Linked DNA regions of Arabidopsis thaliana. The protein of the gene in region 1 purifies or fractionates together with the protein of each later gene. This does not show direct contact. Each region holds a gene or a part of one and is shown in the gene's direction. Other genes may lie near its edges. The genes, in order: AT5G40290, AT5G51280 and AT4G33370.

Region 1 (7,142 bases):
AGGTACTAACATATCAATCTAGGAACCATTTTAAAGCTAATGATCCTTCAAAACATGTTCAGATACTAAGAAAGTTTGAAACTTGAACCTGAATTCTTTGTAGTTGTAGAAAGAATCATGAGCCCATCCTTTATCTCTATCAGAAACCATTACAGAGAACGAAACAAGACACGAAACAAACGCAATAACCCTAAATCCAAGTAGAGCTTTCCTAATCAAACTTGCCCATTTCGATTCACGCGGAGTAGAAGAAGAAGAAGAAAAGCTCGGTCTCAATTGTCTCCTACTCTCGCTGACTTTCTTCTCCTCCTCTCCGTTAGTAACCCTAAAAGGAGTCTCCGTCTTGGCCACAGAAGGAGTTGGAATAATCGTGTGAGGAGAAGATCCATGGCTATCGGGGATTGAAGAGAGGGTTGGTGAATCAGGAGGTGATTCAATCGTTGTTTGTGGTAATGAATGAAGTGATGATCTTGAAGACATCTCGAAGTTGATTGGTGAAGACTGGTCTTGTTTCTCTTGTTGTTGCTTCTTCTTCTTCTGAAATTTCTGGGTTTTTTCTAATTCTTCCATTTTCGTAGATATTTTGTGGGTTTTTAAAAATTAATTTGAGTTTGTTTGACAGCGGAAGTGATGAAGTAAGCTCTTCTTCTTCCACCTTTGGTCAATGGACACAAATGAGGAAGAAGACGAGAAAAAGACTTACTTTAAAAATAAGTGTTTGCAAAAGGACTTGGTTTCTTTGGTTTCTTGCAACTTTAACCTAAACTATTGTTTGAAACATATAATCCCATTTTCTTCCGATTTATTGGTGGCGAAAGTGTTATTAAAATCATCAATTTATTAAAAACGTTGATTTAAATTCTTAATTCTCGATAAAACGAAATAAATAAACTTGAGATGAAAAGACTTACAGAAGATGCATCATGCACACAACCAAACATAGATAGTCGACGTGAAACAATTTAAGGAGATCAAATCTAAAAAGAAAAATATACATATAAAAAAGACGCAACATAAATTTTGAAACAAACTGATGATTAAATGATGCAGCATATATATTTTGGGCTTTACGTTGGTGTTTATGGACGTGGTACATTTGAATTATTAGCTTGTTTTAATTAGTAAAAAGGGGTTTCGTTCTAATGCCCGAAAATAATCTTCTAATTGTTTATTTAAAGGGATTAGGATTAAAAGATTTGGTGTTTATCTCAAGTCTCAACCCTCCTATGCATCATTCTTCGTATTATTAACTTGTGGAATAAGAAACGAACTTTCGAGCACGGGAAAGAGTATTTCCAAATTATCTAATGAGCTTTCAGGGAAGAGTATCGGGAAAAATGTCAAAAAAATCGTGAACTTTCAAATTTGGGACGTAAAAAACCTGAACTTTCAAAAAGACATTTAAATCCTAAAGTTTATTTTGACTTTTGATAAAATGATCAAGTTTTGTTGACTTGGCCAATTAGGGCTTGTCGTTAATTTTCCGTCAACAAAACAATCACGGTGTTAACTTTTCGTTAGAATCTCCGTGAAATCAAAACGACGTCATTTTGGACATTAGAATATAAGAAGGAAAATTTGCTAACAAGGAGAGTCGAACAACTGACCTTTTGGACTTATAAGAGACACTCAACCATTGAACTACATTAATATTCTTGTATTATGGTAAACAGAGCATGTATATATATATATATATAATGTAAAAAAATAACAGAAACCATTAGAATATATAATATTAAATATGTGAGTTTAAAATTATACAATCCTTTTCATTTAAATATATATACCATTAATACAATTATCACTTTTTCTTATAATGTAACTAAAATAATTTTTATTTATTTATTTTCTATCTAACTATTAATATTACATCAATTTCAAGTTAGAATAATTATGTTTTATATTTATCTAATATATATTATAATATAAATACAAATTAATTTATCCAAGTTTCAGTTTGTTTTATATAATTTAGAAATCAATAATTTTTCAAATATAGAAGAAACTAACATAGCAAACTAAATAATTGAAATTTCCAAATATTTATTGAGGGTAAATATATTTAATATTTGCATATATTTGGTTGTTGATTTTATTTAGTTTTGTTATTTTTAATAAATTGCAGATATTTAATTAATTGTATATTATTATGTTTTGTGTATATATATATATATATACTATGTCTGTAAGATATTATAATGTTAATGCAGGTTAATGGTTGAATTCCTCTATTAGTTCAGAAGATCAGCATTTCGAGTCACTTGAACTGCTGTTTTTCTTTTTCATTTTCTAATTTTCAAAACGACGTCGTTTTGATATAAGAGAGATTCTAACGGAAAGTTAACTCTGTGATTGTTTGGTTGACGGAAACTTAACGACATGCCCTAAATGGTCAAGTTAACAAAACTTGATCATTTTATCAAAAGTCAAACTAAACTTTAGGATTTAATTGTCTTCTTGAATATTTATGCTTTTTTCATCCCAAATTTGAAAGTTCGCGATTTTTTTGACATTTTTCCCGAAAAATATTCCCAAACCTATCCTTTTATCGTTTCTGCCGCTAAACCATTAAAGACTTTGATGTGTTACCAATAACAACATTCAATATTGAGGACCAAAAAAAGTAGGTTTTGTGGTTTCTACAAAGTGTTTAACTCGGGGAAGGTAAGCGAAACAGACACAGTTTGCTTTGGGTAATAAATTGACATGAAGAAAATCTTGTCCGTCAGATTACAAATATCAGAAACTTTCAACAGTTAGATTTTAATTTGCTGACGTGTGCGAGTATTAGTATTACAGATTAGGTTTTCTTGACCAAAAAAAAAGGCGACGTGAAATATCTAGTGATGGGAGAGTATTGCAATGAAGACCTGAGTTGTTTTCCGGCGAATGAACTCCGGTTCAGCAAACATGTCCACGACAACGTTCATGGAAACATCTATCTTGATCCTGTTAGTTTTCTCTTCTTCTCACTTTCCAAATGGTTCGGATTTTCTGTGATGTGATTATCTTCTTTGTATTTAGAGTTTTTCCAATTTTGGCTTGAATTTCAAATGCTCTAAACCACTTGATAAGTCTGTGAAAACTCATTGTTTAATCTGTTATGCAGCTTTGTTTAAAATTCATTGACACTGAGCAGTTCCAAAGGTAATTAGTTGTTGGATTGTGCTCATTTCAAAAGGTATATTAAAATCAGACTGAGAAATGTGCTGATTCTTTTTATCCTAATTCCTTGTGGCAGGCTTCGTGAACTAAAGCAACTTGGTGAGTTTTTCTTACCTTTTCAATACCAAAAAAAAAGAAGCATTATATTCAGAATTACTGTATGAAATGCTAGAAGGAAAATATAGAAATATTTTTCTCCAAAATATTTTTCTTTTGCTTAGTTTATTAGCTGTAGCTGTAATAAGTCTTGAGTGGTGTATCTTCTTTCTTACATGCATGGTTTAGGAGTGACAAACATGGTATATCCAGGAGCTGTACATTCTAGATTTGAGCACTCTCTAGGTGTGTATTGGCTTGCAGGTGAAACTGTTCAGAGGCTCAAAACTTTCCAGGTATTTGGATAATTTGTACAAATTTCAGTGGTACGTACAGTCACATTTTTGTTAAGTATGTAATGTATATGTTATAGGGAATGGAGCTTGGTATTGACAATCATGATCTTCAGACTGTGAGACTTGCTGGTAACTATTGTTAGCTAAATATATGACTACATTAATTATTCATTGAGATACAATTTTTTATATCTCTTTGTATATTTTTGTAGGACTTCTCCATGACATTGGCCATGGGCCTTTCAGTCATATGTTTGAGCGTGAGTTCCTCCCAAAGGTCATAAGTGGCTGTCAGTGGTATGTTCAATGCCATGGTGTTACTTGATAATTTGATATGATACAAGAAATATTACTACATTGCTGATGTACAAACGCTTTTTCGAATAAATTTTACATTTTCTTCAAAAATAAAATAAAAATATTTACTACTTTGGCTCTATGGATTTATTCTTCTTTCTAGCTCTTCTTTATATGCCAGTTCTTGTATGCAGGTCTCATGAGTTAATGTCTATAAACATGATTGACTATATAGTCGATACACATCACATAGATGTTGATGCAAAAATGCTAAAAAGAGTCAAAGTAATTTTCTTTCTCAAGACTGTTTAACTTCTCTCAAATGACCTTTAGTATTAAATATTTTCCACTTTGGTGATGATTTTCTCAAATGTTTACTTAACACTACAGGACATGATACTAGCTAGTACTGAAGTTTCAGAGCTGAAAGTAAATTTTATAACAGGCATGTTCTCTATTCTAATCAAACATGAACAACTAATTAAGCTTTGTATATATTTTCTTTTTTTCATAATTTGTAGGGCAATGCAGAGAAGCGTTTCTTGTATGACATTGTTGCTAATGGTCGAAATGGGATTGATGTGGATAAGTAATTCTATCTTTCCCTTAGTTTCTTTCTTTCTTTTTTCACTCATCATGATGCTTACGAAATCAACTGAAAATTTTGTAGGTTTGACTACATTGTCCGAGACTCTCGAGCTTGTGGACTAGGGTGCAACTTTCAGTTTCAAAGGTCTTCATACTACTTTATAGTCATTTCAGTTTTTGTTTTGACATTCACTGATTCTTAGTAGTTTATAGACTAACAGAACCAATGAGAGTCATAGACAATGAAATCTGCTACCCCGCCAAGGAATGTGAGTTTTGTCCACCTGATACATATTTATTCTGCATTTGCATTTGCCTCTTATGTAAAATCGGGTGACTTTTTTTTGCAGATCGTACTGTCCACAAGTTGTTTGCAACTCGAGCTGATCTTTGTGGAACCGTCTACATGCATCCCAAAAAAATGGTATTGTACCATTATCATTCTCTCTGTACCTTGTCTATTCTTTCTCTCTTTCCCATTTGTTTCTTTGCAGGCCATAGAGCTTATGATAGTAGATGCAATGGTCAAAGCCAACAATGTCTTGGAGATTTCTTCTATGATTAATGATCCTTCTCAATACTGGAAGGTACACAAATCTTTCCCTCTCTGCATCAAAACTCTTTTGCTTGTAGTTTACATCATTTTTTTCTCCAGACAAATGCAGTTAGACGACACAATCCTCAAAACGATTGAAAGATCTCCAGATCCAGAACTTGCAGAAGCTAAAGAGCTGATACTCCGCCTTAGCAGAAGGCACTTGTACCAAGTAACTTTTTTATACAAACTTTACCTTTCTTTTGGTGCTTATTTAGGTAAAGTATCGTCCTTCTGAAGAAAGACATGTATGACTTCTTACTTGCAGTTCTGTAACGAGTATGCGGTACCAAAGGACAAAATCGATCATTTCAAACCTATCACTCCTGAAGATATCATCTGTTTCTCAGGTTTGTAATCTTTAACACAGCAAAATAAGAGGAAACTATTTTTATATACAGTGAGGACCTTTGCCATATATACGTATCACTCTGATTTAACAGAAGCAAACAAGCTTGACACTAAAAGAAGAAGATATAGCTGTTACAAACGTCAAGATTGATTTAGCTCGTGGGAGAGAAAATCCTCTTGAATGGTAAACAAAGTACAGTTTAGCTTCTCTGTTTTCTCAATTTCCTCATTAAAGTTCTAACCAACTTATCCTTGTGCTTGACTTCTTTAGCATCAACTTCTATAAGGTACATACATAAAAGTCTTCGTTCTTGTTATGCAGATTTGATTCTCTAAATGTGTAAAGAGAGGAAACCTTGAAAATAACACAGAGAATCTCAATAAACAAATTGATTTTTCTATGGTATTTACAGGATTATAATAGTGCAGAGAAGTTTGTGATACCTGAGGACAGAGTTAGCCACTTGTTACCAACAACATATCAAGAAATGATAGTGAGAGTATATGCCAAAAAACCAGAATTGGTATGTGATTATTACTCTCTTTTATGATTACATTACTGTTTCGTTTTATTTAACCACAAAGTAACGTTTTTATTTTTCTGGTTTGCAATGTTTATTCTACAGGTAGAAGCAGTTTCTGAGGCATTTGAAAACTTCCAAATGAGAACGTATGGAATCAAAGCTCAAGTACTGATGTAACTACGTGGCTTAGCCATGATTTACTTCATTACATGGGTTCTTGTTTCTGGGGGGGAATTGGTGACGGTGGAAGTAATAAGTTTTTTTTTTTTTGTTAAATATTATATCTCGACAAGATTTGAAGAACAAAGATATGTTCATGTTTGGTTGATCTATTTTTTGGTTTTAACATCCAATTTTTGGTTCGAAACACCTGACGTTCAGGTGATATCGGATACAAACTCGTTCACTACGAATCCATGCATTTCTACTACACGAGTTTGTCAGAATTCTCTAAAACCAATAACGATGCAAGTCTTTCAACAATCATCAAATTCTTTAAGTCGTAAACCAAAGATATGATAAATGGTATATACGTAATAAAAAAGTAACAGGTTTTAAGGTTAAATTAGTGAAACTTCTTTTGAAATCTTACAAGTTACAACACTACGAAAACTCTTATGTTTGGAGTTTCCCATACATTAGCAACAACGGGTCATGCTGCTTTAAAGAAGAACTCGATAGCTTCATTATACTGATCCATGACAATGTTGTGAAGAAGTTGAACAGGTTCAAGGAGATTCGAGTAGCCACCCATAATGTCGCGAGTCAAAGGAGGAGTGTCCTCGTCTTTTAACCAAGCGTGCTGAGCCACAGACAAGCCGCTCAGGCAGTAACATGTGTGGTAGAAGTCACGGGGTTTCCTCGGCTTGTCTCTGAATCCACCGTCAGGGATCTGCGCATACAAGTGTGTGTGCTTGTGTTATACAAATGTTAAGTGTTAACTTGACTGGATGTTTTGTTCTGGACTGACCTTAGAGCACAAGAGTACATATCTCTGCAAGCCGAGGCTATCAAAAACCAGTTGCATTCTCCTGTTAATGTAGGTGGATGTATGATGGATTCTGTGACCATTCACTGAATCTGCAAATATAAGCTAACTAAAATTTCGTTGTGTTTTGAATTATCAGATGGACTTGATGGTTGAGAAATTTGATTGAATACCTTCATCGTTGTCCTCATCAGAATCATCATCATCATCACTGTCTTCAAGGTCATCTTCATCATGAGCAT
Region 2 (6,588 bases), 4.7 Mb from region 1:
TTGATAATAGATTCTTTCACTCTCGTTATTTACTAGCTCACACAAGGATTTTCTTCATTATCAGAGAGCTACAAAGAAGAGGGAGGGGCTTATATTATTTCTCATTTTTTTTTTATGTTTGAAAGTTTCTGCCAATTCTCAACAATCTTATGAAGGGATTTGCTAACTAGTATTTTTTTTTAGATTTGGAAAATGTCTGTTTTGGAAACTAATATTATTTTTGTGCACGGCTGGATATACTTTTTCAAAAACATGAATATTATTAATTCATCAAGAAATTAAAATTAAAGATGAAGTATATATTGTTCTTACTTCGGAAAAATTGCATCACATGATGTTAGTCACTTTATATGATATCTTGAGGATTTAACGTTTTTAAATATTTTTGTAGTCCATGTTACATAGTGTAAAACTGTAAAGTAACAAAATGCGTATTCTTCTTAAATCTCACATAGTTCTGCCATGTATATATAATCCCTCTGCATGGCACTTCAAATGAGAATATTGAATGGAGAGTCGGAGACCATATGAAATCATGGATCACGTTCATGATAGAGATCTATATATCCCAATTCACATATATACTATATATATTCTATAATATATCATCTAGGAATACAGATGAAACTGTTACAGAGAATAACAAAATTTCGTGATAATTAAATCTAATATTCATTTATTATTCTTAATACTTTGAATATATATGGAAAAAACATTTATCTAAAATAATTCTTCTATTTAAATAGGGGACTTCAGATTTTTAAAATTTGAGTATTTTGCTTGAAGAAATGAGTATTTTTTTATAAAACTTTCCTTATGTTTTAAGATGAATTTTTCATCTTGTAACTAGACATATGATGTAATTCCAATTTCTTTTACTTTTATTTTTTATTATATATGTAATTCCAATTTCATTTGGTTTTTGCGGTTAGTTTACGAATGAATTCTACATATTACAAAAATATCATAAAATACATATAATGATCTATATTTTAATGGGGTTTTCCTCCCTTGGTTGCTCGCATGATCTATCTTGCCATCACGTCTTTTTGTCTCCCGATCCCTATAATATAGGTATGTGACAATGTGTGTCTATCTTTTTCTTTCTCTTTTAAGTTTTTAACCAATCCAATTTTTGTCAACAACACAATCCAATGAATTCTAACTAATATACTATGAAAGTGGCATATTAATATAAGTTTATATGAATGAACGAGAAAATGCACTTAGACATAAAAGAGGGAAAGAGAGATACATATGCAATGTCAACGTTGCTCAGCTTCACAAACCCATGTTATGAATCTTTTTCTTAGGTACATCAAGTCGTATGATTCTTTTTAAACAAACCATCAAGTATGATTCATTATATGGTTATATCCCAAATAAGAAAATATATAGATAAATACATTTAAATATTGCATGATGTCATGCACCAAAAAGCAACAATATATAATCAACATGATATAGAACTTCGACCCCAACTCCTCCTTCTTACTTGAACTTGTTTTTGGAATTGATATTATTTTTGGGTAAAATTAATGGTTAATTCATTTGAGTCAGGTTTATTTTCTTTTGAATTCAGGTCGGACTTTGAATTTCTTTTTCTTTTCTTAGTCAATATCATCATGGTTAGATGCGAACCATGACCGGGACAATATCGGCTATGTATTTTCTGTTTTGGTACATGTCACTATGTCACCTTGTTTAATTTTAGTTGTTCTGTTTGTGTAACTACGAGTCTACGAATACATTGTCTAATGAAATGTGTTGTTATGTTATATCACATGTCATATATAGTGTAACTCACAAAAGATGTATCATGTCATTTTCTTTATTTAAATCGTGTTACGTAATGTGAAGAACTTAACAATATATTAGCAATTTTAATACATCTGAAAATCATTCAAAAAATCGAAAAACAGAACAAAATTTTGTTATCGTAAACAACCAAGTTAAATGATAGATGAACACAATAGATCAAGGATAAAAAAAAGTTGAGATTTGAGATGAATTTGTTTTTTTTTTGTTTTTGTCACTGAAATCTTTATTGAAAGCCCATTAACTTACAGATAATAGGCCCAATAAACAAAATTTACACGCCGTCTAAACCCGATTTCCGACGACCTACAGAAAAACTTCGGTCGGTCAGTGACCCTTTAAAGGAAAGCTATTAGCGATTGATTCGAGAGATGTGCAAAGCTTGTTGATTTGAGGCTCTCTCTCTACTAGGGTTTGTTGATTTGAGTTTTCTATTCCTCCTATACGTGTTCTTCGATTCTCCTGGGATTTTTTTTTGAAAAAGGGAATAGAAGAAGAAGTTGCTGAATTCTCGATATGGAATCCATCATGGAAGAAGCTGATAGTTACATTGAGTATGTATCAGTGGCGGAGCGGAGAGCGATTGCAGCGCAGAAGATACTTCAGCGGAAGGGAAAAGCTTCGGAATTGGAAGAAGAAGCTGACAAGGAAAAGCTCGCTGAAGCTAAACCTAGTTTACTTGTTCAAGCAACTCAGCTCAAGCGAGATGTACCCGAAGTTAGTGCTACTGAGCAAATCATCTTACAAGAGAAAGAGATGATGGAGCATTTATCTGATAAGAAGACGCTTATGTCTGTTCGTGAACTTGCCAAAGGTATCACTTATACAGAGCCTCTCTTAACTGGGTGGAAACCTCCTTTGCATATTAGGAAGATGTCTAGTAAGCAGAGAGATTTGATTAGGAAGCAATGGCATATTATTGTTAATGGTGATGATATTCCTCCTCCTATTAAGAACTTTAAGGATATGAAGTTTCCTAGACCTGTTCTCGATACTCTCAAGGAGAAAGGTATTGTGCAGCCTACTCCTATTCAAGTTCAGGGTCTTCCTGTGATTTTGGCTGGGAGAGATATGATTGGGATTGCTTTCACTGGTTCCGGAAAGACTTTGGTTTTCGTGCTTCCCATGATCATGATTGCTCTCCAAGAAGAGATGATGATGCCTATTGCTGCTGGTGAAGGTCCCATTGGGCTTATTGTTTGCCCTTCTAGAGAGCTTGCTAGGCAGACTTATGAAGTGGTTGAGCAGTTTGTGGCTCCTTTGGTTGAGGCTGGGTACCCGCCATTGAGGTCGTTGCTATGTATTGGAGGTATTGATATGAGATCCCAGTTGGAGGTTGTCAAGAGAGGTGTCCATATTGTTGTTGCAACCCCTGGGAGGTTAAAGGATATGCTCGCCAAGAAAAAGATGAGCTTAGATGCTTGCAGGTATGATTTCTTTGGTTCTTTTCAATATGATTAATCAACCTGATTGTAATATATGTTTGCGTCTACTGTCTTGGCTGCCTTGTTTGATCTTATATCCTCGTTTTCTGAGTTTTGCACTTGGCTAGATTCTTGGGGATATCTGCTTATTGTGCCTGTTTTGTTGTTTCTGGTTAACGGGATAGATCAATAGGATTGTCTAGTGTCTGTTAGCTACTTAGCGCTTCATTGCTATATATGTTCTTTATTGTGTGATTCTATCGGATTTTTTCTCTCTGAATAAATTTTCCGCACTGGTGTTTCTTTCTGAATGCATCTTTCTTGTCTTTGGAGTCTTGAGACTGTGTCATTTAATTTCAAAATCTTGAGAATGTTAGATGGCAATGATGTTTACCTTCCTTTTTTTCCTTTTTTTAGGTACCTGACACTAGATGAGGCAGATAGGTTGGTTGATTTGGGTTTCGAAGATGACATAAGGGAAGTCTTTGACCACTTTAAGTCTCAACGTCAAACACTATTGTTCTCTGCCACAATGCCCACAAAGATTCAAATCTTTGCCAGAAGTGCTCTGGTGAAACCTGTGACAGTTAATGTAGGAAGAGCTGGAGCTGCGAATCTGGATGTGATCCAGGAGGTAGAATACGTCAAACAAGAAGCAAAGATTGTTTACCTCCTCGAGTGTCTACAGAAAACCTCTCCGCCGGTTTTGATATTCTGTGAGAACAAAGCTGATGTTGATGATATTCACGAGTACTTGTTACTGAAAGGAGTGGAAGCAGTGGCCATCCATGGAGGAAAAGATCAAGAAGACAGAGAGTACGCAATCTCTTCGTTTAAAGCTGGGAAAAAAGATGTGTTGGTTGCGACTGATGTTGCTTCAAAGGGTCTAGATTTCCCTGATATACAACACGTAATCAACTACGACATGCCAGCAGAGATTGAGAACTATGTGCATAGGATAGGACGAACAGGTCGGTGTGGTAAAACTGGGATAGCAACGACGTTTATAAACAAGAATCAAAGCGAAACCACTCTGCTGGATTTGAAACACTTGTTGCAAGAAGCTAAACAGAGGATTCCACCTGTCCTTGCTGAGCTGAATGATCCAATGGAAGAAGCAGAGACCATTGCTAATGCAAGTGGTGTCAAGGGTTGTGCCTATTGTGGTGGTCTTGGACATCGTATCCGAGACTGTCCAAAACTTGAGCACCAGAAGAGTGTCGCCATTTCTAACTCAAGAAAAGATTATTTTGGCTCGGGTGGCTACAGAGGAGAAATATAATCTTGTTTTGTTCCCTTTGCTAGTTATCTCATCTTAGCTGTTACCGAACTGTGATGTTTGTGATGTTTATCTTCCATATGTCACGCTTTTTACACTGAGTCGAGTTCTATCATGTCAAAATATTTCTTAGTTAATATATATGGTCGGATTCTTGAACTAAATTTTGTACACAATGTGCATGCGGTAAGGTGCAAGGTCTTTCGAATTGTATCCCTAAGGTTGCTTTTGAGTTTAGTTGTTCATTTTGGTGTCTCTTCTTTCTGTTGTTATTGTTACAAGTGCCCCTTTACACCGTTGGGTTGTATTGAAGATACATTTTCATATCAGCGCTGAAAGGTAACGTTTTTTTTTTATGGGGAAAAAGGTATAGACTATTAATTACATCATAATGATGTTTACAATGAGAAAGAGTAATATCATCTCCAATCTCCAATGGTTACATCTCGAATTTTTGGATACTATAATATGTTTGCCATGTTCTTTTTTTGGCAACATTGTCATGTTCACTATAAGACTTTTCTAGTTTCCAGTCTCATTTGGCTTTTTCACTTGGGTCACTAACTATGCACAAAAGCTTCATATAAAACCACATTCACATGCATGTTGTTATATCTCTGGACCAGATGCGAACAGAGGTATAAGGCCACGCAATACTTGGGCTGATAATTGGTGAGCCTCAAAGATCTCTCCGTCCAAATTCCACACACTCTCTTCCCCAAATGATGTAAACGTGAAAGCTCGCGTCTGCATTACCAAATATATTTTGATCAGGACCCAACCAAGTTAAGAAGATTAGAAAAGGAAAATGTTTTACAAACCTTGTGATATTCCACAAACTCGAAGTTCAAAGGTTCTCCACCTCTTTTTGCAAGCTCGGTTAGGTGCCTGTAACCCATTACAATCTCTGATATAAGCCTTACTCATAAAATGAATGACAATAGGAAAAGTCGAGACATTACCATAAGTACTTGGGACGAGAACAATCTTTTATGAGTATGAGATGAAGGAAACCGTCGGAGAGGTGTGCATCCACAACAAGCCCATCAGGTGCTCTTTCATTTCGGTTTGACATCACTGCAGCACCTATACTCAAAAACCGTCCTTTCGTTCTACACCATCTTGTTTTTTCTGGACAGGGGTTAAGTGTTGTGCTTGCACTGTTCCAACCAACCTTACTGTTACAAATCTTGCAATTTGCACGACATAGTATTTTCTCTGATCTTGTGGTATTTCGAAATGGCCATGTCTTACTCCGCGTATGTAGGGAAGCTTTAGAATTCTCTGATTCAGCTTCTTCAAACATTACCTCTGCCTCGTATGATCTTACATTAACATATAAATTAACAACTCAAAAAAACAGTGCTTTGCTTGGACGAAAAAACAAGGTAGATCATTTGGAGGAAATTCCACTAATGTTTTCTTTTGGAAGTTTAAATTGGTAAATATGCTAGGGAAATACCTGTGCTTCAAGAATATCTTAGTTCCAACATAGTCATAGCGTTTGGGACCCATCCACCGATATTTTTCACTTTCTGAAATGACATCACCATAAAACCCGTATCTGAACTAATCAATTGTACAAAACTCTGTTAGAGATTGGAGAAATCAAGTTTTCTTTCACAGGCACTAATGGTTAAAGATATTGAGGATGCTGTTAATAATAAGGAACTAAAGCTCCGGACTTGTAAGTGAAGGATGAAAAACAGAGCTTCATGACTTAACAAAATCTGCCTTTCCTTGTTACAGAACATCTCAACAAAAAAGGTTTAGTCCATTACCCAGCGAATGAGGCTGCATAACGAATATAAGGTTCAATCGTCGAGGTTGATGCTGTTTTCCACCGCACAACCTGCATTGCATCAAGGAAGAGCTTTCTACCTAGAATGATATGCAGCGCTGATGTTACAGGATCACGAGCTCCTGTGGTGCTGTAACGCAAGAGCATAAATAGTAGTTTAAAACTTGAAGCTTATCAGAAGCTATTTTTACTTTCCTGAAGCTATCACCAAATCTTTCAAAATTTGTATGTAGAAAAAGAGAAACCAGACAGTAGAGATTGAAAAC
Region 3 (5,713 bases), on another chromosome or scaffold:
TTATAGATAGCTTTTTAATCATCCACTATAGAATCGAACAAGCTTGAACAAAAACATGATTCCTTACACCATATTCGACTTCGACCACAAGTGTTTAAAGCCAATCAACAAAAACAACAAAACATTCTATTCCCTCGTATACATCTGGCCAAAAGATGTTTGCATCTTTGGTACGGTACTCCAATTTTCAAGACTCTGAAAATGGTAACACAGCTGAGAAAAAAAAACCAAAACTATCTCCTATTTCTCCCATCAATCTGTCCACATGGGTTTTGCTCAAGCCGTTACAACACCTGAAACCCATGGAACGATAGATGGCGCTTTTGGGTGGTTGTTTCTGTATGTCTCAGAATATCTGTCTTTGAAATTCTGTTTTGGCTTCTCTGCCTGCAATTCACATAGACATATTGGATATGAGCCAAGCTTCCAGTCCAACTTGGACGAGTAATCTCAAGGAAACTGAAAATTGGGTAAAGTAGTATGTGTACGAGGTAAGTTCTTACGTATTTAAGCCAACACTCCTGATGTTTATGCTCATAAATATCTGGAGAGAAACAACCAAACTCAGATGGGCAATAAACCCAAATATTGCATCTCGTTTCTCCAGGTTTCGCACGCTTTGCCTGGTCTAAGCAAGCCTGGCAACAATCAGCTGCACTCTCTTTATGATGTGTAAGCCCCCATCTCACTGCAGCACCACCATAATCTGTGTGAAGCTCTGCATTACATACAGCTGGCACTGGTCTGCCTGCCAATATTTCCTCTACGGAAAAAATGCACAACTTCATGAGATTTGAATTCGCCAGTGTCACCACACTTTTCCACCCAAATAAATGCAAAAGCAGAGATCAAGAATGTAGAAAATTTTGAAAACATTACCAGGCTCTTCCTCTCCTTCAGGTTTATCATCATGTTCTACATTGGTAACCTCAGCAGGTAACCAGAAACCGATTTCTTCAGACAGCACATCCCACTCCAACTCCAAAGCTCTTACAAGCATCCCTAGATAATTACAGAACAAAAATTAGTTTTCTCTCTAATTATACAAAACAAGGATAGAGTATCGGGAGGACTCCATAAATGAATCTTTGCTCAAGGTGAGAAACTCAGTAATCTTTCTAAAGGAGTAATACCTGCTTCCTCCACTATAAGGGTGGAATTTACTCCATTTTGCCCTTGAATTAGCTCTTTAGCTTCCTCCAGCTTCTCATTGCGCCACGTTTCTACAACTTCTGTTTGCCAAATGAAGATAAGAAGGTATTAAAGGTCACTACAGAGATAACATGAATGTGTCAAAAGGAAAACTATTGTAGGCGAAAACATTAACAAGTCTACGTGCATTACGAATACTACAAGGGAAAACAATAGAACTCAGTTTGAAGCATCAAAAAGAAATCCAGTGTCTTCAAAGTCTGGATTATTAGAATTTTGTCACCTCTCTCTAACCAAATAAATTAACCCATTCCTACCTTCCACCTTTTTCCAATAACTCTTGTAAATAACTAAGAATTAACGCACATTGCGCATTAGCCTAGTCAGCACATAATAAATGTTAAGAGTTGTTCAAGTGAAGTGAATAGAATGAAAAATCTACTTTTAACAAGTCAAAAAGGTAAATATCATGACTTTTTGGAATTCTTGAGCATACTTTTTCTGATGCAGTAGAAAGGAATTAGAGAAGCATGTTGAGACATACGAACATGTTAGGTAAGCTACTGAGAATCTAAAGAACATCGAAAAGATTATGTATACAATGGCACCACCGCTAGAGTTTCTGTGGCTCAAATGTTTCATGTACATAGCATATGATCATCAATGCATAGATTATAACAGAACTTAAGTGGGTGTTAGAGCTTATGTTCCATAGACCTGATGAACTTATACAAGAAGAATAGAAAAACTAGGCATGAAAAAATCTCCATTGAAAATCCCGCTAAAATCAATTGTTCTGTCTAGTATGTGATAGTGCATGCAGAAAGGTCTGAAATTTGTGAGCCTATTTTACTATCCTGATAACCATATGCATTATTGAGCAAAAATCCACTTCTACATGAATGATAATGAAATATTTACTAAACTGAGCTATTGATACCAACAAAATCTTACACAGGTTAGGTAATAAGACAAATCACCATGACATTCCAAAGAGGTAATAAGACAAATCCTAAGCAGCTAGATCAGGAAAAGTCATGAAATGCAAGTTTGTGGCAGTTTGAAAAATAAATGTCATGAAGCTAATGGGCATAGTAGAGTAGCACAAACCTCTAAGCTGAGTAACATTAGATTTGTCCTCAAAGCTTTTCAAACGCTGGAGGATCTCATCAACTAGTTTGTGTTTAACATTAGGAGATAGTTCAGTACTAGATTCTGCAGTGGAAACCTCATGCTTGAGCTTCTTCACCTAACAAGGAAATCAAACATTGTGAGAAGAGCCAATGTGCATCTTCGAGTTCCATTTTAAAAAGCCACTAACCAATTGAAGAATCAGAGTAGGTTCCTTCGATCTTCGAATCCGAATAGATTCCTCCATTTTCCTAATCTCATCAGCTGTGTACTTAACAACTGAATAACAAAAAACCAACAGAGCTGCTTCAGATACGAATTATCATGAATCAGAGAGCAAAAATGAAAAGGAAAATAAAAAGTAGGAACCATTATCGTTATTGGAATAGATGTGGAGAGAAGAAGCATAGAGAAAGCGAAGAACAAAGAGAGCAATGAGAATGTTGAAAAAGCAAACAAGTAGAGTGATTCTTTTGAAAGAGAGAACTCCGGTTCCGGCGATCCCTCCGGTCCATTCTCCTCCTCCCCTCGCCATCTCCCTCCGCCGTCATCCCACCATTTCTCAAGATCTCGCTTCCGATTATAATTACACTTTTGCTTTAAATCGAACACTTGAAAGAGAGATTCGATTTCTTTTTTTTTTGCTTCTTCTTCCGGCGGAAAAAGGAAATCGTGGGAGATAGAGAGAGAGAGCTTTTAATTATTACTCTATTAATTTATTTTTCACTCGACAGAGACAGAGATATATACCAATCTCATCAATGCGTGTGGATAAAAACGTCGTATGTATTTCTTTGGCAGCGTCTATACTAGATAGGAAGTTTTGTAGTATTATTTCTTGCAATTGTTATGTAAATACTACATCTTTAAATGTGGTGATAATCCTATGATTCATGTCATTGCCATTTTTCAATCCAATATATGAAAAAAATGGAAATTAAATTTTTGAAAAACTACCTTTTACCTAGCTCCTTGTCAACATACGAATTCTAATTGAGACTCTCTTCTTGTAGCTTTTCTTTTCTTTGCTTATAATCAGAAAACACAACACACCCGATCATTCCCCAACCCCGGTTTAACCAAAACTCCGTGTCGGTCATATCTATCTGCGTGATCTTCCTTGAAAGTCGAGAGATCTGCTGATTAGGGTTTGGATTCGATCTTTGAAAAAGTTGGCGAGTGGATTTTGAATCATGGAAGTAGATGATGGTTACGTGGAGTATGTTCCAGTAGAGGAGCGTCTAGCGCAGATGAAGCGAAAGGTGGTGGAAGAACCTGGCAAGGTAAAGCTCACTGAAGAAGCTAAACCTAGCTTACTTGTTCAAGCAACTCAGCTCAAGCGACATGTACCTTAAGTCAGTGCTACCGAGGCCATTATTTTACAAGAGAAGGGGATGATGGAGCATTTATCTGACAAGAAGAAGCTTATGTCTGTTGGTGAATTAGCCAGAGGTATCACTTATACAGAGCCTCTCTCAACATGGTGGAAACCCCCTCTGCACGTTAGGAAGATGTCAACCAAACAGATGGATTTGATTAGGAAGCAATGGCATATTACAGTTAACGGTGAAGATATTCCTCCTCCAATCAAAAACTTCATGGATATGAAATTTCCGAGTCCACTTCTCCGTATGCTCAAGGATAAAGGAATAATGCACCCTACTCCTATCCAAGTTCAGGGTCTTCCTGTTGTTTTGTCTGGCAGAGATATGATTGGGATTGCGTTCACTGGTTCCGGAAAGACGTTGGTTTTCGTGCTTCCTATGATCATATTAGCTCTGCAGGAGGAGATAATGATGCCTATAGCTGCTGGAGAAGGTCCCATTGCGCTTGTTATTTGTCCGTCTAGAGAGCTTGCTAAGCAGACTTACGATGTGGTTGAACAGTTTGTGGCATCTTTAGTCGAGGATGGATACCCGCGGTTGAGGTCGTTGCTATGCATTGGAGGAGTGGATATGAGATCACAGTTGGACGTTGTTAAGAAAGGTGTTCACATCGTTGTTGCTACTCCTGGAAGGTTGAAGGATATCCTCGCCAAGAAAAAGATGAGCTTAGATGCTTGCAGGTTGTTGACACTGGATGAAGCAGATAGGTTGGTTGATTTGGGTTTCGAAGATGACATAAGACATGTCTTTGACCACTTTAAGTCTCAGCGTCAAACACTTTTGTTTTCTGCCACAATGCCTGCAAAAATCCAAATCTTTGCCACAAGTGCTCTGGTGAAACCTGTAACTGTTAATGTAGGAAGAGCTGGAGCTGCGAATCTCGATGTCATACAGGAGGTTGAATACGTCAAGCAAGAAGCAAAGATTGTTTACCTTCTGGAGTGTCTGCAGAAAACCACTCCACCGGTTTTAATATTCTGTGAGAACAAAGCTGATGTTGATGATATTCACGAGTACTTGTTACTGAAAGGAGTGGAAGCAGTGGCTATCCATGGAGGAAAAGATCAAGAAGACAGAGATTACGCAATATCTTTGTTCAAAGCTGGGAAAAAAGACGTTTTGGTCGCGACCGATGTTGCTTCAAAGGGTTTAGATTTCCCTGATATACAACATGTAATCAACTACGACATGCCTGGGGAGATTGAGAACTACGTGCATAGGATAGGAAGAACAGGTCGCTGTGGGAAAACTGGGATAGCAACTACGTTTATAAACAAGAACCAAAGCGAAATCACGCTGCTCGATTTGAAACACTTGTTGCAAGAAGCTAAACAGAGGATTCCACCTGTCCTTGCTGAGCTTAATGGTCCAATGGAAGAAACAGAAACCATTGCTAATGCAAGCGGTGTCAAGGGTTGTGCTTATTGTGGTGGTCTCGGGCATCGGATTCTACAGTGTCCAAAATTTGAACATCAGAAGAGTGTAGCTATATCTAGTTCTAGGAAAGACCATTTTGGCTCTGATGGATACAGAGGAGAGGTGTAATCTTGTTTCAAGGTTCGTGCTCTAATCTTGTTTCGAACTAGCTATCACCGAATTGAGATTTCTTTACTCATTATGTCATCTTGTATTTTCGTGGATCTGTCTGTAATTTGAAATTTTGTTTCACTCAAATGAGAAACTTACTAGTTCTTTGTTATCTGTAGTATGTGACAAAACAAAACACAAAAGAATCTTGCTATTGGTTGATCCAGCTTTCAGACAATGATGTTTGTATTAAATATTAATTAATTAAACCCTCTCAACCAATTAGAGGTTTCTTGGCTTAGAAAAGCAACGATGGGCCCAAAGATGCCCAACACAGAAACAGAAAATATGAAAATATTAGTCACCGGCTCTACTGGTTACTTAGGCGCACGACTCTGCCACGTTCTCCTCCGTCGTGGCCACTCCGTACGTGCATTGGTCCGCCGCACCAGCGATCTCTCTGACTTACCTCCAGAAGTTGAGCTCGCCTATGGAGACGTAACGGATTACCGTTCTCT

The links.
Region 2: the proteins of AT5G40290 (region 1) and AT5G51280 fractionate together in Arabidopsis thaliana (co-fractionation; one large-scale study listed by BioGRID). This does not show direct contact.
Region 3: the proteins of AT5G40290 (region 1) and AT4G33370 fractionate together in Arabidopsis thaliana (co-fractionation; one large-scale study listed by BioGRID). This does not show direct contact.

What each region holds. Positions count from the first base shown.
Region 1 is NC_003076.8:16,104,206-16,111,347, reverse strand, and holds AT5G40290 (HD domain-containing metal-dependent phosphohydrolase family protein), read left to right. Parts: upstream 1-2,846; coding exon 2,847-2,951; intron 2,952-3,109; coding exon 3,110-3,147; intron 3,148-3,241; coding exon 3,242-3,264; intron 3,265-3,450; coding exon 3,451-3,557; intron 3,558-3,634; coding exon 3,635-3,686; intron 3,687-3,769; coding exon 3,770-3,854; intron 3,855-4,048; coding exon 4,049-4,139; intron 4,140-4,244; coding exon 4,245-4,283; intron 4,284-4,375; coding exon 4,376-4,443; intron 4,444-4,524; coding exon 4,525-4,587; intron 4,588-4,655; coding exon 4,656-4,711; intron 4,712-4,792; coding exon 4,793-4,866; intron 4,867-4,936; coding exon 4,937-5,029; intron 5,030-5,107; coding exon 5,108-5,209; intron 5,210-5,305; coding exon 5,306-5,387; intron 5,388-5,505; coding exon 5,506-5,572; intron 5,573-5,659; coding exon 5,660-5,675; intron 5,676-5,801; coding exon 5,802-5,912; intron 5,913-6,014; coding exon 6,015-6,089; downstream 6,090-7,142. Other genes in the region: AT5G40300 (Uncharacterized protein family (UPF0497)), read right to left, coding at 89-570; ERA1 (Prenyltransferase family protein), read right to left, coding at 6,565-6,804, 6,883-6,992, 7,074-7,142.
Region 2 is NC_003076.8:20,839,122-20,845,709, forward strand, and holds AT5G51280 (DEAD-box protein abstrakt), read left to right. Parts: upstream 1-2,117; 5' UTR 2,118-2,334; coding exon 2,335-3,245; intron 3,246-3,659; coding exon 3,660-4,524; 3' UTR 4,525-4,871; downstream 4,872-6,588. Other genes in the region: ACD5 (Diacylglycerol kinase family protein), read right to left, coding at 5,131-5,268, 5,343-5,409, 5,484-5,846, 5,984-6,085, 6,303-6,452.
Region 3 is NC_003075.7:16,069,169-16,074,881, reverse strand, and holds AT4G33370 (DEA(D/H)-box RNA helicase family protein), read left to right. Parts: upstream 1-3,476; coding exon 3,477-3,566; intron 3,567-3,674; coding exon 3,675-5,213; downstream 5,214-5,713. Other genes in the region: AT4G33380 (dimethylallyl, adenosine tRNA methylthiotransferase), read right to left, coding at 277-387, 504-763, 880-1,002, 1,134-1,232, 2,263-2,401, 2,474-2,562, 2,653-2,818; FLDH (NAD(P)-binding Rossmann-fold superfamily protein), read left to right, coding at 5,508-5,713.